Linked DNA regions of Canis lupus familiaris. The protein of the gene in region 1 interacts with the protein of each later gene in a pairwise test. Links are inferred from orthologs where the notes say so. Each region holds a gene or a part of one and is shown in the gene's direction. Other genes may lie near its edges.

What was found. The genes of interacting proteins can lie anywhere in the genome.
Region 2: the proteins of AP1M1 (region 1) and AP1B1 interact in a two-hybrid assay, tested with the Homo sapiens proteins (2 studies listed by BioGRID, with this or other methods). The link is inferred for Canis lupus familiaris from reciprocal best matches to the Homo sapiens genes AP1M1 and AP1B1.

What each region holds. Positions count from the first base shown.
Region 1 is NC_049241.1:46,687,782-46,691,345, reverse strand, and holds part of AP1M1 (AP-1 complex subunit mu-1), read left to right. Parts: intron 1-339; coding exon 340-487; intron 488-2,052; coding exon 2,053-2,088; intron 2,089-3,564. UniProt on the Homo sapiens protein: Subunit of clathrin-associated adaptor protein complex 1 that plays a role in protein sorting in the trans-Golgi network (TGN) and endosomes.
Region 2 is NC_049247.1:23,074,075-23,077,638, reverse strand, and holds part of AP1B1 (AP-1 complex subunit beta-1), read left to right. Parts: intron 1-192; coding exon 193-298; intron 299-2,729; coding exon 2,730-2,865; intron 2,866-3,564. UniProt on the Homo sapiens protein: Subunit of clathrin-associated adaptor protein complex 1 that plays a role in protein sorting in the late-Golgi/trans-Golgi network (TGN) and/or endosomes.

The sequences.
Region 1 (3,564 bases):
ACTCAGAGAAGCCACATAACTGGCCCACATCTCACACCTGTTGTTCCCCAAGTGGTATTGGGGTCACCAGCTTCTCCCCCAAGGGTCAGTCCCCTCTGCACATCGAGCAGAAGAGCAAATTCAGGTCCCCTCCTTGCACCATCCCTCAAGTGAAAAATGAACACTCTATGCTCATTGTAACTCAAGTTTGTCAGGGCTTTATGGACACATTGTAAGATATTCTTGTATTAAACAGCTCAGGTGAAACCAGAGCCTGCCTTTTCTGGAACCTGCTCTAGGGAGGGAATGTTTTCAAAATGTCAGTGCCTGAACTCCTTAACTCTTGGCACGGTCCCACAGGTACATCACTCAGGAAGGCCACAAGCTGGAGACGGGGGCCCCGAGGCCCCCAGCCACTGTCACCAATGCAGTGTCCTGGCGGTCCGAGGGCATCAAGTACCGGAAGAATGAGGTGTTCTTGGATGTCATCGAGTCTGTCAACCTCTTGGTAGGCTTCCTTTCCTTCCTTTTCTTTCAGAAAAATTTTGTCTTTTCCATGGTTGAAATAAAAGCACTGGGACTTTTAAAACTAGCAAGGCGCTGAGAGACATTTACTTTCTTTATGACAGCAGATCAGCAGGGTTCAGCTTAGGCCACTCATGGCTGAGCCTCTTTTCTCTCCACTAGCTTGTGTTCCTGTTTAGAATCAATGCAGACACATCGTGGCTGTCACTCTTTAAAGCAGTGTGGAGAGTTAGCAGAGTGTTCCATTTTCAGAAAGACCACCTCATTTAAGATTTATTAGCATCCTTTTGGACCTCATTCTGTAAATTCACAAACATGCACTGTTCTTTCCATGAAGCCGAGAGCGTAGGATGTGGTTCTGCAACTTGTTTTATTATTGTTGTTTGACTGTGTATGTTTGCTTTTTCCTTTTATTTTTTAAATTTTCACTAATAAAATTGACCTTCTTTTCTGTTAATTTCTGCACATGTACAGATTTTTGTACCCCAGTGCCATAATCAGGAGCTACATCCCCTCTAAGCCCTCCCTACTGCCGCCCTCGGCAGTCTGACCCTTCCGCCTCTCCCCCCACTGCTGGCAGCCACCACTCCAGTCCCTGGCACTGCACAGTTTCTCTTCCCCAGTCAGCCATGGTCCTCAGTCAGAATGTCCTCCTCCTGACTATTGTCAGAGGGTCAGTGGCCACCTCACACTACATCACAAGGCTTATGTCATTCACCTCACTTTACGTTGTCATGTAGGCGCTTTGTCCTCTGACATCATCACAAGAACGGTGGGTAACAGTACAATCAGGTGTTTTGAGAGAGAAAGAAACTACATCCACTTACCTTTTATTATAGTATATTGTTCTAATTGTCCCATGTCACAATTAATTCATTGTGAATCTCTTACCGTGCCTGATTTATAAATTAAATTTTATAAATTAAAATTTATTAGAGATCTATATAGGAAAAAACATAGTATATATAGGATTTGGTACTGTCTGCAGTTTCAGGCATCCACTGGGGGTCTTGGAGCATATTTCCTGCAGATAAGGAGGACAACTCTAGAATGTTGTCTTTTTGAGATTGTCCTATGAATGGCATTGTACAGTATGTGGCCTATTGAGTCTGGCTTCTTCCTTTTTTTTTTTTTTTTTTTTTTTTTTAAGATTTTATTTATTTGTTCATGAGAGAGAGAGAGAGAGAGAGGCAGAGACACAGGCAAAGGGAGAAACAGGCTCCCTGCAAGGAGCCCAATGTGGGACTTGATCCCGGATCCCAGGATCACGCCCTGAGCCAAAGGCAGATGCTCAACCACTGAGCCACCCAGGCGTCCCTGGCTTCTTCCACTTAGCATAATGTCTTTGAGATAGATCCAAGTTACTACGTTTACCAGAAGTTTGTTTCTTCTTATATTTATTTTATATCCTGAAGCATACCTTGTTTACCCATTCAACCTATTGAAGGACTTTTGGGTTTTTTTCCAGTGTTGGGCAGTTGTGAATAGAGTTGCTATAAATGTTTCACATCCAGGTTTATGTGTAGACAGAAGTTTTCATTTCTCTAGGGAAAACACCCAGGAGTGGGATTGCTGGGTCATATGGTAAGTGTATGTTTAACTTTATAAGAAACTGCCAAATCGTTTTCCAGAGTGACTGCACCATCTTTGCCTTTTCATCAGCAGTGGATGAACATTCTGGTTGCTCCACATCCTTGATCGGTGTTTTAATTTTCGCCATCTTAATCAGTGTGTCGTGTTAGCTTATCATGGCTTTAATTTGTAATTTCCCTAATGGCTAATGATGTTAAACACCTCTTCATGTGCTTCCTTTGTCATCCACATATCATCTTCGGAGAAGTGTCTTTTCATGTCATTTGAGTATTTTTAAATTGGGTTGTTTGTTTTCTGATTGTTGCATTTTGAAAGTTCTTTATATATTCTGGATTATAAATCTCTCATCTGATATGTGATTTGCAGATGTCTTCTTCTAGTCTGTCACTTGTCTTTTCATTCTTTTGGTGCAGTATCTTTCACAGGACAAAAGTTTTTAACTTTGAGAAAGTCCAGTTACCGATTTTTTGATGTGTGCCTTTGGTGCCATGTCTGAGAACTCATCACCAAATCTAAGGTCATACAGGTTTTCTCCTGAATTTCTTCTAATAGTTTTGTAGTTTTACATTTAGATCCATGATCATTTTGAGTTAAGTTTTACATAAGGTACGAGGTTTATATGCATTTATTTTTGCATGTAGAACAGTGTTTTGCAGTTGTTCCAATATAATTTTTTGAAAAAACCATCCCATTCTCCATTAAATGCACTTGTATTTTTGTCAAAAAGCAATCGACCATATTCATGCAAGTCTATATCTGGCCTCAGATCTGTGTATCTGTTTATTTGCCAATACCACACTGTCTTGATAACTGTAACTTTATTACGTCTCCATCAGATTATGTGATTCTTCCAACATTCTTCTTTTTTGAAATTGTTGTAGCTATTTAGTCCCTTTGTATAAAATTGTAGAATCAACTTGTCTCTATCTACAAAAAGATCCTACTGGGATTTTAATTGTTATTTTATTAAATAACTGTATTAATCAGTATGGAAGAAAACTGTTATCTTTAGTATATTAAGCTTCACAATCCAAAAACGCTGTATGTGTCTTTTTCTCTCTAGGTAGGTCATCTTTGATTTCTGTCATCAACATTTGGTAGTTTTTACTACCTATACATTTTCTTTAGAGCTATACCTAAGTATTTCATTTTTTGAAGGTATCGTAAATTGTATATTTTTAATTTTATTTGGTAGAATTAATTTATTTGATAGTGAAACTATCTGAGTCTAGAAATTTCTTTTTCAGGTTTTTTTTTTTTAAGAGAGGGGAGGGGCAGAAGGAGAGGGAGAGAGAATCTTAAGTAGGCTCCACGCCCAGTGTGGGGCTCAATCTCACAACCTGAGATCATGACCTAGGCCAAAAGCAAGAGTCAGATGCTTAACCAACAGATACACCCAGGCATTCCTTTTTCAGCATATTTTTAACTACAAATTTCAATCCTCTTAACGGTTATACGATTCAGGTT
Region 2 (3,564 bases), on another chromosome or scaffold:
TGATGATTCCTCTCCTCAGAATTGTCCCTCTCTACTGCCTCTGTCATGAAGGCCAAGGACCTAAAGCTGCCCTCAGCTGGTAGCACAGAATGTCTTACCTGCCTCTGCCCTCCCATCCTTTGGAATTTGGGGATTGAGAATGACCCCCTGGTAGGGTGGGGGTGGATCACTCATACCTGCCTCCTTTTTTAGGGGAGATCTTCGAGCTGAAGGCAGAGCTCAACAGTGACAAGAAGGAGAAGAAGAAGGAGGCGGTAAAGAAAGTGATTGCGTCAATGACCGTGGGCAAAGATGTCAGGTGTGCAGGCGTAGGCCGGGTGGCAGCAGGAGCGGGGCTCCAAAGCTTGGGTCTAGTTCAGATCTCTCATTGACATTATCTCTAGGTACCTGTGTCTCCCCTTGTTATAGCTCCCTTCATGAACCACCTTTCCAAACAGAAGGTTTTGTTTACAGAGGGGTCCTATGCTCACATGCTGCTGGGGTGAAGTGGCAGGAGAGTAAGTGAAGTGGGCAAGGTCAAAAAGGTAACAAGCAAATGAAGTGGATGTAGCAGAACCCTGTCAGAGATTCCAAAGGATTGCTGCCAGCTGGGGAGAATGAACCCAGTCTGGGCAGGTCTGGTTTTTTTTTTTAAAAATAAGAAATCAGGATTTTTCATTTTAAATCTCTTTATTTTAGGTTTCCAAGATGATATTAAACAAATACTGTAGTAACAGTAACACACACCTGCAGATGGAATTTATCGAATTTATCACTAGTTTGCAGCCTCTGCTTTGCATCTGATTGCCAGAGCAAATCATATGTAGAATGCTGCCTCACCTTTGCTCACACTTTTGCCCTGTGTAGAATGTCCCTTTCCCCTTTTACATTTACCAGCATGTTTTCCCATCTCTTAAACCCCATTCACGGTGTCTCTGTTGCCTTCACTCGTCACCCCAGCCCACCCCCCTGAGTGTGCAGCATTTGTTCTGTGTTCCTATCACCTGGCACTAATTCTTGACTGTCCTTTTATTATGTGTACTTGTGTTTACCTGCCCACCATGTCATACAGTCCCCAAGGAGGAGGATTGGATTTTGCAACAACTTAAGAGTTGCACAGTATTTGAGAGTAAGCAGAAAACTTTCAGATAGGTTCTCTAGCAGTTCTTTACAATTCCTATATTGCAGGTAATGATGTGTTTACTGCCAAGGAAACCAGGTAAAGAAAGGGTCTAGTGGCTGCCCAGCAGTCACGTGGTTAATAGAACTAGGACTCAGGCCCAGCTCTTCTGAAATCGAAATCCAGGGCATTTCCACCCATACCCTCTCCTCTATGCCCTCATGGTGCCCAGTTCCTGACTCATAGGCCTGGGCACTGATGTGGAGCAGCTCCTCATCTGGATCCCACATCAGGATCACACTTCTCCAGACTTCTCTGTGGATTGCCTTATCCTATTGCCACCTCAGCAAGGGACCTCCTAACAGTACCACAGTAGAAACAGTTCTGCAGAGAGACCTGCTGTAGACAGAGTGGCAAAAGGATCAGGCGTCTGCTGGAAAATTAGGCCTCCTTCCAAGTCACATCCTTCCAGGACAAAGCCATTCTCCTTCAACTAGAACATTGCTGTCACCTCCTCACAGAGGAAGCACCTTTGTTCTTCTGTCTCAAGCGAACTTGTTGTGCTGATGTGACAGGCCCATCAGCTGTTTCTCCTCTTCACCTTCCTCTTTCTTCTTGGTTCTTCATCTTCCAAGGTGATGCATCAAGGTCAGCATTATCAACTGGGTTCCCTTCTAAGGGAGTCCAGGGAGCTCACTTTGACCTCTTAAGTCTCTGTTACTGTGTCCTCGACCATTAAGTCACAAGCCTTGAGAGGGGAGGTAATGATGCCAGAGAGAGGAAGGAAATTGACCTCTAAGCATATTTCACATCTCAGGGGGTTTGGGACTCTGGGGTACCGTGTTGGGAGGGGTTCCACCCAGAATAACAGCAGTCCTGGGCATGGGCTTTAGAACCAGAGCTGGCTCCTCAGGCAGGTTATTTGACATTTATGAGCCGTAATATTGTCTTCTGTAAAATGAAGATAACACACTGGCTTCTTGGGGTTGTTAAATGAGATCACACATACAAAGCCCGGCATAGAGCAAATGCTCCATACATGCTGAGCTAGTTTTTAGTGGGCATCTGAGCTGGCCCTTCTGGTGAAAGGAACATGCCTATTCCCACTTCCCTACAACCATCTGGAACCAGCAGCCCAATATAAGGGGGCCGCATTAAGTTTCAGGGAAAGAAAACAATTGTTTTCATCTATTTAGCACCTCTCGGATGTCAAAGACCAGATATCTGGAGTATGGTGCCCTCTTTAAATATTACAGGGCCCTGTGTAATGGGGTTTTTTTACACCTTCCCTGGAGGTGAACAAACTTGTGGGGGGATGAAGGAGACAGAGCTGGTTTTGAGCCAGGTCTGATAGGCTGTAGAGCTTGTATATGAATGAATCCCGTGAAAAGAACAGAGGACTTTGCTTTTCAAATCACCTTTTCGATTCCATTACTACCAATAAGTGTTCATGGTTAACAGAGCATAGCTGATGTCCTCCCTTTTACTAGGAAGTCCTGTTATCTTTTTCTTTCTCTCCCATCCACTATCTCTGCGCCCCCACCCCACCTCCCAGACCCCCCATTAGCTCTCTGAAAAACCTTCTTCTTTCTCCAGCCTTAACTACGCTCATGCCATTTTGACTTTTCAGTGCCCTCTTTCCTGACGTGGTGAACTGTATGCAGACAGACAACCTGGAGCTGAAGAAGCTGGTGTACTTGTATTTGATGAACTACGCCAAGAGTCAGCCGGACATGGCCATCATGGCTGTCAACACCTTTGTGAAGGTAAATAGCTTGGTGGGAGGAAAGGCATGGGTGTTCACTGCTCCCTCTTCCCTCCATCTCTTGGGGTGGGACACTATGGCCCTGAGTAAAAACACTCAGGCTCCTTTCTAGTCCCTCTGACTCCCAGCCTGAGGGCCACTTAGTCCTCCAGCAGAGGGCTCCCACTCTCAGAAAAATCAGTTACTATAGACCCTGTTAACTCATTCTGTGTGAGGTAGCCTAAGGCCTTTATTGATCCTCATATCCCCCTGGGGTGCACCAATGCCCTACATCCGTTGCCAGGGCAGAATTCAGCATCTCAGAGCTCCTGTGTTCCCATTTTAGACTTTGCCCCTTTCTGTGTTTTCCACTTAGATTAAGGAGCAAACGGGGGGGGGCACGCGGGGGGGGGGGGGCAGCCTCAGTGGTGCAGTGGTTTAGTGCCGCCTGCAGCCGGAGGTGTGATCCCAGAGACCCAGGATCGAGTCCCATGACGGGCTCCCTGCATGGAGCCTGCTTCTCCCTCTGCCTGTGTCTCTGCCTCTCTCTCTCTCTGAATAAAAAAAAAAAAAAAAAAAAAAAAAAGGCAAATGGGGACTTGAAGTGCCAGGGGTTTTTTTGTTTTTGTTTTTGTTTTTAAGATTTTATTTATTTATTCATGAGAGACAGAGGCAGAGTGAGAAGCAGGTTCCCTGTAGGAAGCCCGATGTGGGGCCTCGA